3 linked regions of the Ovis aries genome follow. The protein of the gene in region 1 binds, or shares a complex with, the protein of each later gene. Links are inferred from orthologs where the notes say so. Each region holds a gene or a part of one and is shown in the gene's direction. Other genes may lie near its edges.

Evidence for each region.
Region 2: the proteins of TNNC1 (region 1) and TNNI3 are in contact, whole or in part, in a crystal structure (PDB 4Y99), measured with the Homo sapiens proteins. The link is inferred for Ovis aries from reciprocal best matches to the Homo sapiens genes TNNC1 and TNNI3. Residues at the interface, in NP_003271.1 of Homo sapiens: Asp3, Ile4, Lys6, Ala7, Glu10, Gln11, Thr13, Glu15, Gln16, Glu19, Phe20, Ala22, Ala23, Ile26, Phe27, Val44, Met45, Leu48, Gln50, Glu59, Met60, Glu63, Glu66, Asp67, Gly68, Asp73, Asp75, Glu76, Phe77, Met81; in NP_000354.4 of Homo sapiens: Glu32, Pro33, His34, Ala35, Lys36, Lys37, Lys38, Ser39, Lys40, Ile41, Ser42, Ala43, Ser44, Arg45, Lys46, Leu47, Gln48, Leu49, Lys50, Thr51, Leu52, Leu53, Leu54, Ile56, Ala57, Lys58, Glu60, Leu61, Glu64, Arg136.
Region 3: the proteins of TNNC1 (region 1) and TNNI2 are in contact, whole or in part, in an NMR structure (PDB 2MKP), measured with the Homo sapiens proteins. The link is inferred for Ovis aries from reciprocal best matches to the Homo sapiens genes TNNC1 and TNNI2. Residues at the interface, in NP_003271.1 of Homo sapiens: Asn18, Glu19, Phe20, Ala22, Ala23, Ile26, Val44, Met45, Met47, Leu48, Gln50, Pro52, Glu56, Phe77, Met80, Met81, Cys84, Met85, Lys86, Asp87; in NP_001139301.1 of Homo sapiens: Arg116, Met117, Ser118, Ala119, Asp120, Ala121, Met122, Leu123, Ala125, Leu126, Leu127, Lys130, His131, Lys132.

The regions. Positions count from the first base shown.
Region 1 is NC_056072.1:48,510,035-48,517,114, forward strand, and holds TNNC1 (troponin C, slow skeletal and cardiac muscles), read left to right. Parts: upstream 1-2,903; 5' UTR 2,904-2,929; coding exon 2,930-2,953; intron 2,954-4,396; coding exon 4,397-4,427; intron 4,428-4,643; coding exon 4,644-4,790; intron 4,791-5,053; coding exon 5,054-5,168; intron 5,169-5,386; exon of another isoform or gene 5,387-5,392; coding exon 5,393-5,529; exon of another isoform or gene 5,530-5,610; coding exon 5,611-5,642; 3' UTR 5,643-5,816; downstream 5,817-7,080. Other genes in the region: NISCH (nischarin), read right to left, coding at 905-1,000. UniProt on the Homo sapiens protein: Troponin is the central regulatory protein of striated muscle contraction. Tn consists of three components: Tn-I which is the inhibitor of actomyosin ATPase, Tn-T which contains the binding site for tropomyosin and Tn-C.
Region 2 is NC_056067.1:63,045,537-63,052,545, forward strand, and holds TNNI3 (troponin I, cardiac muscle), read left to right. Parts: upstream 1-3,143; 5' UTR 3,144-3,287; coding exon 3,288-3,298; intron 3,299-3,596; coding exon 3,597-3,612; intron 3,613-3,764; coding exon 3,765-3,851; intron 3,852-4,267; coding exon 4,268-4,309; intron 4,310-4,587; coding exon 4,588-4,719; intron 4,720-5,099; coding exon 5,100-5,189; intron 5,190-5,693; coding exon 5,694-5,870; intron 5,871-6,646; coding exon 6,647-6,730; 3' UTR 6,731-6,795; downstream 6,796-7,009. Other genes in the region: DNAAF3 (dynein axonemal assembly factor 3), read left to right, coding at 1-110, 745-856, 1,026-1,100, 1,186-1,594. UniProt on the Homo sapiens protein: Troponin I is the inhibitory subunit of troponin, the thin filament regulatory complex which confers calcium-sensitivity to striated muscle actomyosin ATPase activity.
Region 3 is NC_056074.1:46,019,306-46,025,841, reverse strand, and holds TNNI2 (troponin I, fast skeletal muscle), read left to right. Parts: upstream 1-2,363; 5' UTR 2,364-2,529; coding exon of another isoform or gene 2,530-2,640; exon of another isoform or gene 2,641-2,721; intron 2,722-2,732; 5' UTR 2,733-3,291; intron 3,292-3,380; 5' UTR 3,381-3,386; coding exon 3,387-3,509; intron 3,510-3,652; coding exon 3,653-3,742; intron 3,743-3,843; coding exon 3,844-4,020; intron 4,021-4,127; coding exon 4,128-4,223; 3' UTR 4,224-4,311; downstream 4,312-6,536. Other genes in the region: SYT8 (synaptotagmin-8), read left to right, coding at 1-129, 232-465. UniProt on the Homo sapiens protein: Troponin I is the inhibitory subunit of troponin, the thin filament regulatory complex which confers calcium-sensitivity to striated muscle actomyosin ATPase activity.

The DNA.
Region 1 (7,080 bases):
AGCCAAGCCCCCTTCCCCAACTCACCATGGTCCCAGAACAAAGGACAGGAGGCTGAGAGGTGCTCAGGCCACCCCCACCTTGGGGCCAGTCCCTGCTAGGCAGCCTACCAGGCCCATAGGCGCCCAAGCCCACCCAGACCCAGGAGGGCCTCCTACTTCATCACAGTCTGCGACTTCTCCCCTTTCTATCCTGCATCTCCTCCACAGCCTTGAAGTGTGCGTGGGCAGTGAGACGCTCTCTCTCACCCCCACAGTCCAAAGCCGTGAAGACCCCTAAAGTTCCGGGCTCTTGGACTCTCAGTCCTGAGCCACCCCCTCAATCCCCGGGGTCTGGGCTCCACTCGCCTCTATTCTTGTCTCTGCCTGAGCGCCCAGGCCCCCCAGATGCCCCCTTCACTTATGAGCAAATGTCAACTGCAACCCCAAGGGCCCCCAGACCAAGGCCCCGCCCCCTCTTTTTCTTCACGGCTTGCAGCGCCCTAACCCTTTCCGCTGATACCATCCGAAGACCCCCTTTCCTAATTCCCCTTCTCCGGGACCCCCTGTCATGTCCTCCCAGGCCGGCGCCCCTCCAGGGGAGCCTCCGCCTCAACCTGACCCCTCTCCTCTGCAGGCCTCCTTTATCCCTTGATCCTTCCCATTCCTAGCCTCCTTTTCTAAACGCATACCCTTCCTAAGCCCCCTCTCTGCGCCCCACCCCAAGACCCTTTTTCCAGACCCGCGGAGCCCAAGCGCCCGTTCCCCAGATTCTGCCATCCCAGGCCCCCTCCTCAAAGTCGCAGCGCCCCGACATCTTCCTCTCCAGCTGAGGGGCCGAGAAGCCCACCCCAACCCCCCGCCCCCGACTCAAGACTCCAGGTCCCAGTCGCCACCTCCAGTTCGGGAGCCCGGGCCCCCAGCACACCGTATACGTGTCCACGAGCTCAGAGCCCACGACGCGCGCCGTCTTGGCCGGCTCGGCCTCCCGCTCGGGCCCGAAGCTGCGCGCCGCCGCCGCCATGTTCCGGGCTCGGTCGCCGCCGCCGCCCGGCGCAGACTGGCAGCAGTAGGGGGCGGGGTCAGCGTCCCACCGCCCCCTGGCCCCCGCCGCCCCCCGCCCCCGGCGCGAGCCGTGCGGCCATGCCGGCCCCGCCGCCTTCTCGCGCCCCCGCCCCACTCCGCCCCGCGCACGTAATTGACAGCTGCGGCCCGCGGCGCGCGTGCGCAGGCCGCCTGGGACGGTTCGATTGCGTAATCGGTCCCCGGGGCCCCGCCCGCCGCGCGCCTTGCAGCTCGGGAGAAACCGAGGCTCGGGCAGGAATTGCTCTGGGCTCTGGCACTCGAAAGGGATGGCCCTGCACCTTCCGTGGCAAGTCACTGCCACGCCTGGCCTTAGTTTCCCTCTCCGCAAAAGCGACAGTAATTACATCTCACCTACCTCTTGGTCTCATTCCCTGGAGTGTGTTGAAGGAGGATCTGATTTGTAACTCTGAGCTAGTTCTTAACCTCTGCAAGACTCAGATATCTCTGTCAAATGGACTTTCTAGAGAATTGAGGGGGTTAATCCATGCAATGGCTGGCAGGCAAGGCAGGGAACTGGTATAGGCTCTGTGACTTCCCAGGTGGGTCAGTGGTAAAGAATCCGCCTGCCAAACAGGAGACGCAGGTTCCATCCCTGGGTCCGAAGATCCCCTCGAGGAGGAAATGGCAACCCACTCCAGTATTCTTGCCAGGAAAATATCCCATGGACAGAGGAGCCTGGCAGGCTACAGTCCATGAGGTCACAAAGAGTCAGGCATGACTGAGCCACTCAAAACCAGCTGCGTGAAGGACGTGGAGGGGTTAGGTGGAAAGGATATGTGCTGGCCATCTGGCACAACACCCCCAGATGGTATCCTACCAGAGCTCAAAATGAGGGGGTGACAGATTGGCGCTGGACTCAGGAACTACAGTGCTGGAAAAGGGAAGCATGGGCACAGAGAAGGAGCCCTAACCCAGGTCCAGAAGAGGTAGTGACCCAACTGGAGAGGGAGAGTCTCACACAGACGAGGCATCTGTTGGTGTATTTGTTGACTGGTAGAGTGCATTTCAGCCTAGACCTAGTACTTTTCTCCCTGAGGAGATGACAGGTCTGGGGAGCGGCTCCTCTGGCACCCTTGGCAGAAGGGCTCCAAACTGCACTCTCTTGAGGTAGGCCAGTGCCTTCCTTCTCCACGAGTCCCACAGCACCACGATCCGAGCTTGGCACTCAACGCTTCTCTTGGCAGGGTCCTCCACTCCCAGCTTCTTTTTGCATACTGCTGCAGGAAAGTGAAGTCACTCAGTCGTGTCTGACTCTTTGCGACCCCAGGGACTGTAACCTACCAGGCTACTCCGTCCATGGGATTTTCCAGACAAGAGTACTGGAGTGGGTTGCCATTTCCTTCTCCAGGGAATCTTCCCAACCCAGGGATCTAACCCGGATCTCCCACATTGCAGGCAGATGCTTTACCATCTGAGCCACTAGGGAAGCCCAGAGGGGTTTAGTTTAAGTCAGGAGCTGCCAAGTCAGCCAGACCTGAGCAAGTCACCACCCCTCCAGGAGCCTCACCCACCTCCTTGGTTGGATAAGAGTTGTGTTGCTGATCTGGGGGCCTGGCCTGGGGGCCTGGCCTTGCAGCTCCTGCCTGTCCTGGACTCATGTTTTCATTCATTCCAAAAACCTTTCCAGAGAGTCTCCTGGGGGAATGGGGGACAGAGGGAAAGAGCTCTGGTCCTGTAGCCCTTCATCTGCTCCTTGCCCTGGGCAGAGGACACAGGGACTCAGGCCAGTGTGAGATCACCAGGGCCAAGGGGAGGGAGTAGAGGATATTGCAGGCAGGGGTGGGCTGGGTCGGGAATGCGGCGGGGCTAGGCTATTTAAGCCCAGGGCCGCTGGCAACCCCAGCAGCCTGCCCTGTGAGCCGCCAGTATGGATGACATCTACAAGGCTGCGGTAAGGGATGGGCCTGGGCAGGGCTGGGGTGGGCATACCCTTTGGGGCCTGGGGTGGGCGTACCCACTGGGGGCTCAGGGGCAAGGTCACCCTAAGGAGGTGGTAGGGACCCAGGATAGAGTCCAGTAACTTTCAGCCTAGACCTTCAAGGGGCCGGTTGGTCTGGCATTCCAGGGTGTAGAAGGGGTGAAGAGTTTAGGATCTGGGGGGAACTATCAGGGTTGGTGGAGGAGGACATCAAAGCTATAGCATCATGTCCAGCCCGGTCTCCAAATGTCTGTAGCCTGTGTCACTGTCTCTGGGACACACCTCTCTGCATTTGTGTGTTTGGTCTGTCTCTTTGTTCCTCCCAAGCTCTCCTTCTGAGGCTCTGTGGCTGTTTCCCTCTCCGCATTGCTGCCCCTCATATTTGGCTCCTCACCCATCCAATCCCCCACCACCCCCTTGGCTGGCTGAAGGTGCTCTGGAGGGTGGGACAGGGGTTGTGAGGAGGGGGCTGCAGAGGGCTCTGAAGCTTGATGCAGGCACAGAGGGACTAGGAGGGAATAACAGACCTGGGGCGCAGCCCCTGTTCAGCCTGGCAGGCTCAGGGCTCAGTGGCTCAGCTAAGGGGAAGGGCTAGAGGGTGGTCACCTTTTCTTGGTCACCCCAAGTCCCTGCAGGGGCCACTGAGGGGCTTCAGATGCTATTCCAACCTGGGAGTGGGGGTGTTGCTGACCTCCGTCCACCACAGAGACAAGGACATCTGACCCAGACAGCTGCGCGCAAGGGAACCCCTACCTCAGCTCCAGGAAGTACGGACCCCCTCCTGGGCAGGAAAGGCTACAGCTGGCTCTGGGGGTGCCCCTGTCTTTCCTGCAGGAGTCTGTGGAGCTGGGAGAGGGGCAGCCCTCCACCCCGTGCCCATACAAGGCCTGGCGGACCAGGGACTAATTTTGGCTCTTGAGACACCAGGAGGCCAAGGGGCCAGATAACGCTGCCCCACCCCCTGCATGCCAGAGTCCCCAGAACAATCACCAGGTTTAACTTTGTCCCCCGTTAAAAATAGCCCAGTGGCCACCGGTCAGGTTACAGCGGGTGGCTTTGCCTACCCCCGCTGTGGTTTTATTGTCCGAACCTGAGGGACAGCTGCCCCTCCGGCCACCCAGCTTGGGTTTCAGCAGGGGGGCTGAAAGGACACTGAGAGGCCAACTGGCTATTGTTATTCGGGGTCACCTTGGTCCTGGAGAGGGCGCCCACCTGCCACCCTGGCCCTGAGCCCAGCCTCAGGGAGGTGAGCTGGGTCACCTCAGGGCTTGGGGACAGGCTGGGAGAACTGAGGCCTCTGCTCTGTGACCTGGGAATGGCCTGCCTCTTCCCGGCTTCAGTCTTCCCACCTGTGGAATGGGCTGGTTTCCTCGACAGAAGCCAAGGTCTGAGCCTGAGACTTCTTTTCTTCTCTAGGTAGAGCAGCTGACAGAAGAGCAGAAAAATGGTGAGTGCCCCAACATGGCTGTGGGGAAACAGTGGGGCCCAGCTGGGGGAGCGTGAGGACCCCAGGCTGCAGGCCCGAGGCTGGGGTCCCCCTCCCGGTCACCCCAGAGGTCTCAGAGGGGAGCAGCAGGTTAGCAGGCGGCCCTCGGCGTCTGGCCTTCAGGGTTCTTGACTGAGCCATGCTGCTCTGCTTCCCCTCCTCTCCTCCTGGACACAGAGTTCAAGGCAGCCTTTGACATCTTCGTGCTGGGCGCTGAGGATGGCTGCATCAGCACCAAGGAGCTGGGCAAGGTGATGAGGATGCTGGGGCAGAACCCCACCCCTGAGGAGCTGCAGGAGATGATTGACGAGGTGGATGAGGACGGTGAGCCCCTTTGCCCCTCCCCAGGCCCCCAACTCTGGGAGGACTTGAACCCTGGCCCTGCCACTTCTTACTTTGCACCCTTAAAGGAGCTGTTTGGCCCCTCTGATCCTCAACCATATCATCTATGCAATGGGCGCAGTAATCACACTCGCCTCACAGAGTCACTGAGAGGATTCAGTGAGAACACCACTGGGGTCAGTGTCCAGGGCAGGGCCAGCCATCCTGAGCACCACCCTTTAATGGTGTGCCGCCCTCTCCCCCAGGCAGCGGCACAGTGGACTTTGATGAGTTCTTGGTCATGATGGTTCGCTGCATGAAGGATGACAGCAAAGGAAAGTCTGAGGAAGAGCTTTCAGACCTCTTCCGCATGTTTGACAAGTGAGTGCGTGAGCCTGGACCTCCGACCCTGGCCCTGGCAGAGCTGGGCAGAGGGGGACAGCTTTGTGACCTTGGCCTCCATCTCCCGTTCTGCACAATGAGGGAATAGGATGCCCCATCTCCTGGTGGCCCTTCCCTGCTTCCCAGGGTCACAAGCAGGGCTGTTTTGCCCCCTCCCCCTGCCCCTAAAATGGGCTCTGAGGCCCCTCTCACCCAACTGGCAGAAATGCTGACGGCTACATCGACCTGGAGGAGCTGAAGATAATGCTTCAGGCTACAGGGGAGACCATCACAGAGGACGACATTGAGGAGCTCATGAAGGATGGTGACAAAAACAACGATGGCCGCATTGACTACGATGGTGAGTGGGTCCCTCTGAATCCCCCTGCCCACGCCCTGCCCAGGCCCCATGTCTAACCTATGCCCGTCTGTCTCTCCGCAGAGTTCCTGGAGTTCATGAAGGGGGTGGAGTAGACACCAACCTTCACCCAGAGCTGCCTGTACCACCTTCCAACTCCAGCTGGGCCCCGGGACTGCGGGCAGAGGGCCAGGGTCCCCAGGATGTGAACTTGGGTGTGCCCTTGACAAAGGGCCCTCCATGACTACCTCCCTCAGCACTGTCCTAGCCAATAAAATCGTGCTCCTGGAGGCCTGGTGTCCAGCTTTCATTCCCCCATCTCCGCCAGTGGCCTCTCCTGCCCTGACCGCTGCCTTCCCTGTCCCAGAACCCATGCTCTCACCACCCTCGCACCCCGCCTTCTACAGCTCAGAGACCACCGTGCTCCATACCCACCTGGCTCCTTTCTAGAACTGCTGGTGCCCAGGCTCCATCTCCAGCAATTCCACATCTGGAGTCTGTGGTGGCCCAGGAATCTGAGTTTCACAGGCCCCTGGGGGCCATGGCTTTAGTCAGCCAGTTGGCAGCAGAAGGGTCCTATACTCGGAGGGGCAGTCCTTCAGCACCAGGCCAAGCCCTGGATGCCACTTGGCAGAGCAGCCATGGCTCCTCCCGTCTGGCAGCAGGACGCTGGGGGGTCCTTGGGCCTGCCCAGTCCCCCTGCCCGTCCACCTGGATTTCCTGCTGTAGTGTGGACTCCCCAGACCCAGGGGCATATCGCCTGCTCTACCTCCCCTCACTCATTTCACAGGTAAGGACCCTGGCACCCGGGGCGGCTCAGGGAGGGGCCTGCGGGGTCATCCTGTGAGTCTGGGGAGAGCAGAGCCACCTGGCTCCCAGCCAAGGACTCTAATGAACAGGTCCTGATGGGCAGGGCTCCCAGTTCCTGTGAACCTCATGACCCCAGCACTCACTTTCACCCCCTGTCAGGGAGTGGAGGCATGGGGCCTGGTGACTCTCAGTTGCCTGGGGGTGCCCAGGCCAGAGCTACGGACAGAACAGTGAGATTGACCTCCGGGAGATGGGGGCCACAGGGAAGCGAGGTGTCAGCAGCAGTGCTTACCAGAGGGACAGCTGCCGCGGTGCCCAGGCTCCAGCCAGAATGTCAGCAGCTGTCGTGCTCCGCCCAGCCACTCCACAGCCTCCCCACCTGTGCCCCAGCCTTGGCATTCTCCAGACAGGCCCGGCATTCCAGAGACGGTCTTGGAATTCTGAAGATGCCTCAGTGGAGGCCAAAGCTGGTGGGAGCTGCCTGGTCCCTGGAGAGATTGGGGAGAGGAGATGGGTCCCCTCCGTCCTGCCCTCGGGAGCTGGAGAACCGAAGGACCTACATGTATACCCAGGAATGACATTCAGGATAGGAGGGAGGATGACAGTGGGTGGCACCACCAGCCTGTGTGCCATTCCAGGGTTTAGTCACACCCCTACTATGTGTCTAGCACTGGCTGAACACTGGGACTTTTCAGAAGGAGGCCCAGTCCCTAATTTTGTGGAATTTACAGTAAACTCAGGAAG
Region 2 (7,009 bases), on another chromosome or scaffold:
GCACAACGTGGCGGAGCTCTTCCGAGAGATGGCCGCCTGGGGGCACCCGAGAGCCGCCGAGGGGGACCCGGAGCAGGTGCAGGGCGGCGCCGAGGGAAGCCCGGAGCCCGGTAAGCCGCGGACCCGGGCTGTTCCCTTGAGGTGGCAAGCGGGGCTGGGGCACTCACATCTGGGGGAGAGCGGGACCCGGACCCTCGTCCCAGGCTTCAGGCTCCGGGTATTTGAAGTACAAGTATGGATCGGTACGGTGTCTAAAGCCTGGACAAGTGGCCTCCCCTTCCGACATCCGGTCTGTTTTTCACTCTTTGAATTTCTCTCCCTTTTCCAACTCTTGACACCATCCTTACCATTCTGAATTCCATTAGCAGAATTAGCAGAATTGTGATCCCACGTGCAGATACTCAAGAGGCGAACATTTTAACGAGGTTCTACGTTTCAGATTATACCGCTGGAGAACCCCCCGACCCAAATCTGGTCGTGCCTCCGTCTACCCATTACCTAGGTTGGCCCTCCCGGGTGAATGAATGACTTGTGTGGCCATGGGTCACCCACTCTCTTTTCCTCTCGTGAATCTCAGTTGCCTAGTCTGTAAAATGGGTTTCTGCCTGCCAGACCAGTCTTCCCAGAATTTTCCAGGGATCTACCCAAGAGAAAGGAAGACAAAAGGCCTGAAGACGGACGAGGAGAGTCATCTCCAAGCTTCGAGTGTCTGCCTAACCCTGCTAGTCTTCCCTTCCCCGGCAGCCCCTGTCCTGGAGCCCTTCACTGTCCACTTCCTGCCCCTTGATTCTGCCCACACCCTCCACCACAAGAGCTGCTACAAGGGACAGTTCCAGCTCCTCTACGTGGCCTGTGGGTAAGAGGACCTGGGAGGCGCCCAGATCTTCCTCACCCAACCCCTCCTCCCTCAGACCCAGGAATCTAGGCCCCCAGACCCTCCTCAATCAGTGTCCAGGTCCCCAGCCTCCCTTCTTCTCTCAGAACCTGAAAGTCCGAGCCTCAGCCTTCCCCTTTTCTCTCCACAGGATGGTCCATCTTCTCAGCCCAGAGCTGGGGGCCTGCGTGGCCCCCAGAGGACGCCTGATTGTCGAATTAGCCCAGTGAGCCAGCAGAGGGCAGGGCGGGCAACTTCCAGGCCGGGGGCGGAAAGCGGGGGCCCCCTAACCCGCCGCTTCCTGGTTCCAGGTTCCTAGTGGACCTGCGGCAGGAGCAGCTGCATGCGTTCTCCCGCCGGGTCGGGGAGCTAGCACAAGCGGCTGGATTCGCCCCACAGTTGGGGGGCAAGCCCTCGGACACCTTCGCGCGCTTCTACAAGGCCGGGGACTCAGCTCCCGGCCACGAGGACCAGGCTGTGGAATCTGGGACTCCGCCCCCTGACGTCCTGGCCCCGCCCCTTGAGGCAACCGACTGGCCCTCTGAGGACCGGACCCAGCCCCTTGAACCGGGGACCCCACCCTCTGAACCCCTCAAACTGACCTCAGAGTCTCAGGCTTCACTCTTGGAGGCTTCAGTTCCGCCCACAGGGAGTCAGGCCCCTAAATCAGAGAATCAGAATGTTCCTCCAGAGACCAAGTCCCCCATCCCCGACCTCTAAACTCCGGTCATAGAAGGAGAACGCGCCTCTAGAATACTCTCAGCAGTCTCACTCGGCGCCAGCGGTGTCGCTAGCATTTCGGATTCCATTCCTGGGATTCTATATTTATTCCTAGAATTCTAGACTGTTCTCTTGAGTTCTGCCTTTCACTCCCAGACTCTGAAAACACCCTGGAGCTCTAGCTCTGGGGCTCTGCTCAGGCCCTCTGCGTGGTCCCCTCGTCTCCAGGCGTCCCATTCCTAACTGGGGGCTGGGGTGTCGCCTCGCACAGGCTGGTCTACCCTCAGGTGGGCCAAGTAAAGAGAGCCAAGAACTCTTCTCCAGGTGTCTGTGTCTTTCCTGCCCTCAGTCTGTCTCCAAGAATGGGAGAGGGAGGGGGTGTGGGGGGGTGAGCAAGAGGTGAATTTTTATGTGCTACCTGCTGAAGCATATTAAAAAGCAGAGACATTACTTTGCCAACAAAGGTCTGTCTAGTTAAGGCTATGGTTTTTCCAGTAGTCATGTATGGATGTGAGAGTTGGACTATAAAGAAAGCTGAGTGCTGAAGAATTGATGGTTTTGAACTGTGATATTGGAGAAGAGTCTTGGGAGTCCCTTGGGTTGCAACCAGTCCATCCTAAAGGAAATCAGTCCTGAATATTCATTGAAAGGATTGATGTTGAAGCTGAAACTCCAATACTTTGGCCACCTGATGCGAAAAGCTGACTCATTTGAAAAGATCCTGATGCTGTGAAAAATTGCAGGCGGGAGGAGAAGGGGACAACAGAGGATGAGATTGTTGGATGGCATCACCAACTCAAGGGGCATGAGTTGAGTAAACTCCGGGAGTTGGTGATGGACTGGTGTGCTGCAGTCCATGGGGTCGCAGAGTCGCACACGACTGAGTGAATGAACTGCTGAAAGCCTGGGCACCCCACACCTGTATCCTCAAGTGAATCAGCAAACTGTACTGATTGGGTAACAGGTTTGGGGCACTGAGGCTGAGCATAACACAGTGAGGAAGTTCCAGCCCTCAAGGAGACTGCAGTTTAGTGAAGGGGCAGGGCCTAGACTCCTGGGTCTGAGGGAGGAGCGCTGGGGGTCTGGACCCCCAGGTCTGAGGGAGGAGGTGTGGGGGGCCTGGACCCCTGGGTCTGAGGGAGGAGGGGTGGGGGCCTGGACCCCCAGGTCTGAGGGAGGAGGGGTGGGGGCCTGGACCCCCAGGTCTGAGGGAGGAGGGGTGTGGGGCCTGGACCCCCAGGTCTGAGGGAGGAGGGGTGGGGGCCTGGACCCCTGGGTCTGAAGGAGGAGGGGTGGGAGGCCTGGACCCCTGGGTCTAAGGGAGGAAGGGTGGGGGGCCTGGACCCCCAGGTCTGAGGGAGGAGGGGTGGGGGGCCTGGACCCCTGGATTTGAGGGAGAAGGGGCTGGATTCCCAGGCCACCAAGGTGAAGGGGTGATCCAGCTGGAGCATGGCCCGCCCCACCCCTCACGCGCCCCGTTATCTCGAATCCTGGGCAGGGGGAGGAGGGGGCAGCAGTATATTTAGTCTCCGTCCTCGCCCTTTATCTCAGTGTCCTCAGTGAGGTTTGAGCAGACCGGACGAGACAAGTCCCAGGGACCTTCAAGGTCACTCCGGACGCTCCCTCCCTGACCCTCCAAGAGCTCCTTGCTCCCGGGGTTCTGCCTCCCTCAGCTCCTGGCCTGAGACCCAGCATGGCGGACCGGTGAGTGAGGACTGGTAACCTGGGCTCTTGAGGCCGGAGGCGGGTGGGGGCTCATCTCCCGGGTCCCTGTGAGGAGTGAGAGTTGCGAGCCTGGACTCCACTCTGAGAAGGAGGTAAGGACAGGAAACCCGGGTGTCCGAATGAGGTGAGAGCTTGGGACTCCAACCCCTAGGAGCCTAGAATGGGGAGCTGGTAGGCCGGAACTGTGGTCAGAAGGGCCTATGGGGTCCCTTGGGACACGGACTAGACAGGACCCAGGCCCACCAGTCACCCGCTTTCTTGGTTTCTCTCCCTCCAGGAGCGGCAGCAGTACGGTGAGAGCGGGCGTGGGCTGGTCCCGCGTGCCCGGGGAGGGGGCTGCGGGAAGGGCTCTGGGGAGAGAGACTGCAGCCCTGGAAGACGGCAGGGAGACGGGTTGGGGAGGGGGGCTCCCCGTCGTGACTCAGCCCCGTTCCCCCAACCCCAGGCGGGGGACACGGTCTCCGCGCCCCCTCCTGTCCGACGCCGCTCGTCAGCCAACTACCGCGCCTACGCCACGGAGCCGCACGCCAAGGTGAGGTCGGGGGCCAGCGAGGGCGCGGGGCCGGTCGGGGGGCGCCTCGCAGGGTTTAGATTCAGGTTCTTAGGGCACTGGCGTCCTGGGGAGGCGGGGCGGAGCCAGGGCCCTCATGGGACTTTGGTGGTGGGCGGAGCCCAAGAGGAGTAAGGCCTTTATGGGACGGGCTTAGCAGAGGGCCGACGTCTGATTGGTGCGAGCTTGAGGATGGGCGGAGTCCCGCCGCCTCCGCACCTGAGAACGCTTAGAGACGGTGGGCGGAGCCTAGCTATAGGCCCCAGATTGGTGGATGGGGATGAGGGGCGTGGCTTCCCGCGGGCTGGAGTTGGAGGAGGGACTTGACTTGAACGGGCGGGATTCTGATACTCCTCCCGCCGTCCTCCGTCATCCTTCCTTGCTGTCTTACCCGGCAGAAAAAGTCTAAGATCTCCGCCTCGAGAAAACTGCAGCTGAAGGTACGGATGAGCCCACGGAAAAGCTAGGTGTCTTCAGGGGGCGGGTCTTGGACGTTGGGGCGGGGCTTCGGGTGAGCGACTGGGCGGGGCCTGAAAAGTTTGGCGGCGGGATGGCCCTGCCAGGGAGGGCTGGGGCCCGGGAATGATGGACATCAACCTGGAGGAGGCAGGTCTCTGGAAGCCGGCCTGGGATTAGAGGGCGGGGCCCGGTGAGGGTGACTACCCCGCAGCGTCCTCATCCCAGCACTGGGCCGCGGTTCCCGGCACCCCCTCCCTAGACCCTGATGCTGCAGATTGCGAAGCAGGAACTGGAGCGGGAGGCCGAGGAGCGGCGAGGAGAGAAGGGGCGCGCTCTGAGCACACGGTGCCAGCCCCTGGAGTTGGCCGGGCTGGGCTTCGCGGAGCTCCAGGTACTGGTTCTAACCAGGGACTCCGGCCCGGCCTAGGCTCCCAGGTTCCTAGTGTCCGATCTTGCGTCCCTTGGGACTCAGGGGTATACTTACGATGCCCCCACTCTTCTGCTCAGGACCTTTGGGCCCAATTTGCCAATTCTCACCCTTAGGAGTTCAGAAATGTGGCCCCCAGCTGCCTACAACCTCAAAACGCAGAGACTGGTTCCTCCAGCCCAACTCCAGTCCAGATTCTCAGAACCTCTGACTTTAGAACCTCTAAAGTTCCCCAGGGTCTGACTTCAATCTACTCCTCCAGGTCCCCAACCCCTCCTCCTTCAGACCCAGGAGTCCAAATCCTGGGGTTTCTCCTCACTACACACACCGCATTCCTCCACCAGGACTTGTGCCGAGAACTCCACGCCCGAGTGGACAAGGTGGATGAGGAGAGATATGACGTGGAGGCGAAAGTCACTAAGAACATCACTGAGGTGGGAGGCACTGGGCAGCCTGGGTCCCTTTGGGGTAGTGTGGGATGATTCAGGCTCTGGTCTCAGCCTGGCCCCTTGCAGCTCCTTACAGCTGCAGACACCAGGAGACGCAGGACAACTCTGTGAACCTGGCAGGGAGAGGCCAGAAGGATGAGCACAATAGGGTCAGGGATGAGCACAAAAGCCAGGAGGGGACAAAGCAGGAAATATGTTTGTGAACATTTGTGGCTGGAGCCTCAAGTGTTGGTAAGTCAGCTCAAGTGTGGGCCAGGGACCTGTGAGATGCATGTAACTGGACTGGGATGTGTCGGTGGCTTTCAGAGATGAGGCCAAGGCAAATTGGGTATCCAATTACAGGATGGGGAGCTTGGATTTCATCCTGAAGGTGGTAGAGGCCTGAACTAGGGAGAGCCTGGCTAGGGATAGGAGAGAAGTGTAGGGTGGAGAAGTGAGGTAAGCAGGAAGAGGAGGGGGGTCTCCACCTCCCTTTATGGCTTCACCCAGATCGCAGATCTGAACCAGAAGATCTTTGACCTTCGGGGCAAGTTTAAGCGGCCCACTCTGCGTAGAGTGCGGATCTCTGCAGATGCCATGATGCAGGCACTGCTGGGCGCCAGGGCTAAGGAGACCTTGGACCTGCGGGCCCACCTCAAGCAGGTGAAGAAGGAGGACACGGAGAAGGTGAGTGTGGCTCAGTCCAGGAAAGGGGGTGCTTGGGGGAGGAGGTAGTGGGCAGCAATCCTAGGGCCCAGCCTGAGGGCGGGTGATATTTGGAGTTGTGGGGAGAAGTATCTGGTAAGGGTCCTCCACAGGAAGTCTAAGAGGGGCACAGGAAATGCAAGAGTAAGATAGGATGTAGAAGAGAAAGACAGGGAGTGCATTAGGGAGAGTGGAAGTGGCGAAGAATCAGGAGGTACATGAGGGAGACAGGAAGTGCATGAGGGAGAGGAAGTGCAGGAGGGAGACAGGAAGTCCAAGAGGGAGACAGGAAGTGCATGAGTGAGAGAGGAAGTGCAGGAGGGAGACAGGAAGTGCATGAGTGAGAGGAAGTGCAGGTCGGTCACAGGAAGTGCAGGAGGGAGACAGGAAGTGCAGGTCGGTCACAGGAAGTGCAGGAGGGAGACAGGAAGTCCAAGAGGGAGACAGGAAGTGCATGAGGGAGAGAGGAAGTGCAGGAGGGAGACAGGAAGTGCATGAGGGAGACAGGAAGTGCAGGAGGGAGACAGGAAGTCCAAGAGGGAGACAGGAAGTGCATGAGTGAGAGGAAGTGCAGGTCGGTCACAGGAAGTGCAGGAGGGAGACAGGAAGTGGGGCATATTGGAAAGGATTGTCTGAGGGGACAAGAAGTATTCCAGAACCAGACCCTGCAATGGGCATCTGGAACAAGTGACCCAGCAGGCGGGAGGGCAAGTGGAGGCTACCAGGAAGACACGCTAACCTCTGACCCACCCCCTCAGGAAAACCGAGAGGTAGGAGACTGGCGCAAGAACATCGACGCGTTGAGTGGAATGGAAGGCCGCAAGAAGAAGTTTGAGGGCTGAGCTGACTGCCCACTGCCCTGACCCTGGCCTCGAGGATGACCCCGAGGAATAAAGCTTCTCTCTGAGCTGGGGGTGGCTGTCTGTCTACTCCTGGGGGCGGGGCGGGCGGTTAGGTGTGAGAGAGGCTGGAGAAACCGGGGCAGGAGTGGTACCAGAGCAGAGCAGGAGCAGAGTTGGGTCTCCACTTGGGAGGACACAGAGGTGCCGAGACCAAGGAGACCAAGGCCCGGAGACAGACATCCGGAGGCACAGACAGATGGAGTCAGCGGCACAGCCAGA
Region 3 (6,536 bases), on another chromosome or scaffold:
TACGTGAAGATCCAGCTCATGCTGAACCAGAGGAAGTGGAAAAGGAGAAAGACGTCGGCCAGGAAGGGCACGGCCACCCCTTACTTCAACGAGGCCTTCACCTTCCTCGTGCCCTTCAGCCAGATCCAGGTGGGCTGCCTGGAGGAGGGGGCAGGAGAGAACCTCACTCAGGGCCAAACTGACCGCTGTCTCTCTCCCCCTCCTCCTACACCTCTGCCTGCTTCTACCCAGAGCGTGGATCTGGTGCTGGCCGTCTGGGCCCAGGGCCCACAGCTGCGGGCCGAGCCTGTCGGCAAGGTGCTGCTGGGCGCCCGGGCCTCTGGGCAGCCTCTCCAGCACTGGGCGGACATGCTGGCCCAGGCCCGGCGGCCCGTCGCCCAGTGGCACCGCCTGCAGCCAGCCAGGGAGGTGGACCAGGCCCTGGCCTTGCAGTCCCGCCTGCGTCTGCCCTTGCCTGGCTTCTGAGGGCAGCCCTGGGCCTGGGCCTCCCCGTGCGCATTGCCCCAGGGCCCGCGGCAATAAACGCCTCCCCTCCACCATGCGTCTTTCCTGAGCTCTGCAGGCGCGGCGGGGTCAGGGGCTCCTGACACCGCCACGGCCCCTCCCATGGACAGGGAGAGGGTCTCCTCTCGTGGCTCATCCAGGCCTCTGACTTGGGCCTGACCCCTGAGTGAGGGCAAAGGGGCCCCTCCAGGCCCGCTGGGGATGATCCGGGAGAAGGGGCCCCCATCTGTGACTAGAGAGCTAGAGACGGGCCCCTGGGGACACACCGGGCAAGAGCAAGGTGTTTGGGAGGGTGGTGACAGTGGGTGGAGGGAACTCCAATTCCTGGGGCCACCCCAGTCCCCCACAAAGCCCTGAAACTGACTGGATGGTGGGGCGGGGCCTCCCCTGCACGCGCAGCAGGGGGCAGTAGATGCCTGCAGAAGCCACCCTGGGCCTTTGGGGGCTCAGCCTGGCCCAGAAAGCAACTCTAACCCCCACACATCTGGACGGCTTCAGCTCTCCCTGGCCCTCCCCATGGCCGAGAAGCCCCAGCTCAGAGGATGCCAAGTCATGGTCGTCCGGATGCCTCTGCTGGGCGGGGGCCAGGGTGGGGGGCCGCAGGCCCGGGGCTGGGGTGAGGAGGGCAGTGTGCTGGGCCTGCCTGAGCAGCCAGGCGGGCCCTGGGCCCCCTCGGGTCAGGGAGAGGTTCCCAGGCGGGTGGTGCCGAAATCCTGAGTTTGAAGGATGTGTTCTGAGCTGTGCGGGGAGCCAGCCCACGGGCAGGGTGGTCGGGCAAGGCTGCACGTCCATCTGGGACCTCCCATCCAGCTCTGAGAAGAAGATGGGATCCCACCCCTGGAGGGCAGTCCCTCTACCCTCAGCCCAGAGCCCCTGGTGCTGCTGCAGGCCGCAGAGGCTGTATCTGGGGTCCGGCCTTGCCCCAGGCCAGCCTGAGGCAGGGAGCACTTGAGCAGCTCATGCCCAATCTGTCCACTGGGCTAGAGGGGACTGTGGGCAGCAGAGTGTGAGTGGGCTGCTGTTTCCTGGGGGGCCCAGAGGCCTGGGAAAGCCGAGGGCGACCCAGAGTGGACCCTGCCTCTGGGCAGACAGGGCTGGGCAGGAGTGACCCCTCGGCTGACCCCTGAGCTGGCACCGTGGCTGCTGAGGCCGTCACACTGTCCTCGGGCTCCTTGCAAGATACGAGGGAGGCGACTCGAAGTCGTCACCTCGCCCTAAATAGACCAACCCAGCCTCAGCACCCCCTCCCAAGACTTCTTGGCCTGGATGGCAGTGGCGGCGGCGGGGCCAGGCCAGGCGGCTGGGCAGGTGGGGAGGTCCCTGTGCCCCCATTGGTCTGAGGAGGACTCCATGCCCTTTCTGAGCGGGGGCCCAGCCCGGGGGAGGCCATTTATAGCCCTCCCCCGGACCCACCAGCCCGACTCGCCACTGCCGGCCTGACCTCGGTCCCAGCGCCGCTGCCCAGACGCGAGGTGAGGCCGGCCCGGCCCGCCGAGGCCAGCACGGGCGCGTCTGGAGCGCGCTCTCAGAGGGACTTCTCCAGGGCGAGGGTGGGGGTCCGGGGTCTGAGGGCTTCTGCAGAGCAGAGGGCTGCAGGGAGACGCCTCCGGAGGGGGCTGGCATGGCATGGGGTCCCGGACGGCACGGCGGCAGCCAGGCCTCGGCTCTGAGCCTTGGGAAGAGGGGGCTTCGAGGCGTGAGGGACCCCAGGCCCTACCGGGGGGCGGCGTCTTCCGTGCACTTGGGCCAGAAGCCGAAGGAGCAGGGCTAAAAATAACTGGCGGCTCAGGCGGCCACCTGCGCTGGCCAGACCCTCCCTCCCGTGGGGACAGCTGCAGCAACTCCAGGCCCGCGGGGACATTTCGGGCACCCTGTCTCCTCTTACTGCTCCCTCCCCGCCCTGGGGAATTCCAAGACGTGGCCCTGAAGGAGGTGGGGGCGGGGGGTGGGCTAGTGTTCTCCTGGCCCCACCGGGTACAGGGCAGGTGGGCAGGGGTCCTGACCCCTCACCTTTCTCTCCCACAGGCTATCAGCTCAGGATCGCACGATGGGGGAGTAAGTGCAACCCCCAGCCTGCTGTCCCTGGGGCCCCCGCCCCCCAGTGCTGGGTGGGGGTCTCTGCGTGTCCCCACCTGACCACCCCACGCACCCGCCTGCCCCATCACACAGCCCCATGGCCCTAACCTCTCTTCTCTCTCCCCTACCCCCCGCCCGCCCTCCTGGGACAGTGAGGAGGTGAGTACCAGCTTGGGGGTGAAACACTGAGGGGATGGGACCCCCAAGTCAGGACAGGCCTGAAGCTGGAGCTCCAAGGCCCAGGGAGACTGACTCACCCTGTGGGTGAAACTGCCCCACCCCACCCTCCAAGACGCTGAGAAACAGAGGAAGTGGCCTTCCCGTTGGCCCCTCCCACGGGCCGGGGGGAAGTGGGCTGCGGCCTGGTCACTGGGGAGTCACTTCTTGTTTCTCTTGGCTGCACCCCGCCCCCACCTCGGGGCCCGAGGGTCTCCCCTGCCCTCCTCCCGCCTTCCCTGTCCGAAGTCTCTTCTCCAGACCCCAGGCCTCCCCACCAGAAGGGCCGCCCCGGCAAAGGGTCCCCACGCGGCCCCGTGTTCCCCACCAGGCCCAGGCCCCGCCGTGCCTTGGGCAGGATGCAGGGCTGGCCGAGTGGGCAGGGAAGGGTGCGGGGTGCCAGGACGCCCCACCGGCCGGCCCTGACGGCGCCTCCTCTCCCCTGCCCTGCAGAAACGCAACAGGGCCATCACGGCCCGCAGGCAGCACCTGAAGGTAAGTGAGGGCCGGGGAGGGCGGCCCGGGGGCGCAGCAGCCTGGCCAGCGGCGCCCTCACTGCCCGCTGCCCCCACCCCACCCCCCAGAGCGTCATGCTGCAGATTGCGGCCACTGAGCTGGAGAAGGAGGAGGGCCGCCGGGAGGCGGAGAAGCAGAACTACCTGTCAGAACACTGCCCGCCATTGCACCTGCCCGGCTCCATGTCTGAAGTGCAGGTACCCAGGGCCCCCGCATCGTGGGCCCTGTTCCTGGCCTGGCCCATCCACCCCCCGGGTCGGGAGGACGAGCGGGGTGGTCAGGGTGGGTGGAGGCCAGCCGTGGGGTCGCCCGCTCGCCCACCCGTGACCTCCGCCGCCAGGAGCTCTGCAGGCAGCTGCACGCCAAGATCGACGCGGCCGAGGAGGAGAAGTATGACATGGAGGTGAGGATGCAGAAGAGCACCAAGGAGGTGAGTGGCGGGGGAGGCGCGTGGGCCGGGGCGCGGGCTGCCCTGATGGCGGGGCCCAGTCCCCAACGCCTGCCCGCCCAGCCTCGCTGCCCGCCCTGCAGCTGGAGGACATGAACCAGAAGCTGTTCGACCTGAGGGGCAAGTTCAAGCGGCCCCCGCTGCGACGCGTGCGCATGTCGGCCGACGCCATGCTGAAGGCGCTGCTGGGCTCCAAGCACAAGGTGTGCATGGACCTGCGGGCCAACCTCAAGCAGGTCAAGAAGGAGGACACCGAGAAGGTAGGCCGCCCCCGGCGGCGGGGGCCTCAGCCTCGGGGCCCGCCTGCGGGGGCCGGACGCCGGGCGGCGGGGAGGCGGCGCCGGCCTGAGCCCTGTCCCACCTGCAGGAGCGCGACCTGCGCGATGTGGGCGACTGGAGGAAGAACATTGAGGAGAAGTCAGGCATGGAGGGCCGCAAGAAGATGTTCGAGACCGAGTCCTAGGCCCCTCACCCCGGCCGCCGCCCGGCGCCCCGTCACCGGGGGCCCTGAGGCTGACTTGGCGCCTGTCAATAAAGGATTCCAATCCCCAGGCCTGCTCCTCCCTGCCCTGGTCCGGCGCCGCCCTATCCACAGGCCGCCCTGGGAAGGCCCCGAGACTGTGCCTGGGCTTGGCGTGGGGGAGCCACACGCGGGCTTTGGGGGTCCCGGCTGTCCGGGCGGGTGGTCTCCAGGCCGGAAGCTCTCCTCCTCGCCCACCCGCTGGGGTGGCCGGGGCGTTGCCGAGCGACACCCGGAGATGGGCGCCCGTCTGTTGTCGCTGGCGTCACAGAGGCCCCCTCGGGGCCAGAAACACTGTCCTTGAGGCACCGGTACACGCAGGGGCCTGGGGTGGCCTCCCTCCCTGCACAGGCAGCCCGTTCTCCCCAGCTGCCCCTCCCCAGACCCCAGGCCCCCCGGAGGGGCTTGGGGGGCGGTCGTGGACCAGACTCCTGGGGGCCTCGAGGGGCTGGGGTCTGTCTCCCCCCGAGACTGGTGACGGAATAAGGCAGCCCCTCTCTGGGCCCAGCGGGAGGCCTGCCTTCCTTCCTGCCCGCCCCGGCCCTGCCACCCCCCACATCAGGACACAATGTCCCTGGCAGGCCCAGATGGGACTGTCACAGCAAGGCCGCCTTCAGCCTCCTTCTGAGGGATGATGGTGCGGTCCGCGAAGGCCCCACGCTCAGATCTCTGGTGGGGAGGCCAGGCTGCCACCGTGATGGAGCGGCTGTCCATCCTGCCCTTGCCCTCGGGAGGCCCTCACGATTGATGTGCAGGGGCCCGGAGCCTTGAGCGTCAAGGGAGGGACGTCAGCCCGCCCAAGGCCTTGGCCTGTCCCACCGCCTGGCCCTGCGGTGCAGGGACTGGGCTCCGTCCTGCAGGCACCTTCCTGCGGGCACCTTCCTGCGGGCCCTCCTGCTCCGCTACCCTGTGACTTGGGGCAGGCCCAGTCCTAGCACTCCCGGCGGCGGGAGGCGGCGCTCCAGTTGAGGCTCGCCGAGTGCGGAGCCCAGCGCGGGCAGGCAGCTGGCAGTGGGCTCCAGGACTGAGTGGGCTGCAGTGGCCAGAGCTCCCAGTGGCGGAGGCGGTACCTGCCCCCCACCCGCAAAGTGAGCCCAGCAACTGTGCAGGGAACGGGGGCGGGGCTCCCCAGGGATGCAGCCGCCACAGGCGCCACCGACTTGGTGGGTTTGGGGAATGACCTTCTTGCAAGCAAATGTCAAACACGAGGTTCCAGAAAGTGACTCCCTGGGCTGGGGGGCAGGTGGGGGTGACGTCGTGCTTGGGGCAGCTCAGTAGACTCTTGTGGGCTCAGTTGGGTCCAACTCTGTGCGACCCTGGGGCCTGTAGCCTGCCAAGCTCCTCTCTTCATGGAATTATCCAGGGAAGAATACTGGAGTGGGTAGCCATGCCCTCCTCCAGGGAGTCTTCTCAACCCAGGGATCGAAGCCACGTCTGCATTGGAGGCGAATTCTTAACTGTCTGAGGCACCTAGGAAGCCCCCTGACTTATGGGTACTTGTTGCGTTTTCCAATGAACACACGGCATGACAGAGGACCACCGGAACCGAGCCAAATGGGCAAACACCCAGCCAACGCAGCTCGGCCTGGCTCCACACCCCTCTGCCACCCCCTGAGGGTGGTGCTCCCGGCTGACCTCAGTGTCCCTGCAGCTATGTGGACATGGGCCCAATCCGGGAAGCACGTAGTCCAGCAGCGGGCAAGTGTTGAGGGCTCTGCCTTCTAGAAAGTTCTCTGCAGCCTGGAGAATGGTCGAGGCTGGAGGCTGTCACCCCTGGGGGCGGGGTCGGGGGGGAAGCGGCAGTGGGTGGAGAGAGATTCAAGAGGCAGAGCCCCCAGGACGCCGTGGACCAGAGAGACGGGGCACTCAGGCCTGTGCCCAGAGTGGGTGCAGGGCTGGCTCTGCGAGGGGAGGATGTGGCTGCTCGCAGACAGACAGCTGGGTGCAGGGGTCCGGGCTGAAGACGGGGTCTCAGCCCTGGCAACAGATGAGGGAGGCAGCGGCTCCTGGAGCGTCCAAGGTGGACGCTGCCCGGGAAGGAGCCCCAAGGACAGGAGGAGGGCAGCAAGACGTGCAGGGGACGTGCCCCCCCGGGGGTGATGCTGGAGGTCAGGGAGGGACGCAGCCACAGCAAGTCCCGGGGAACCTGGCTCGTCTGGGCCAGGGAGCCGGGTGAGGCTGGAGGAGCCTGGCTGGATGCTCCTGGCTGGTGCGGGGTGTGTATGGGTTTGGGCCTGCAGCTCACTCCATGCTGCC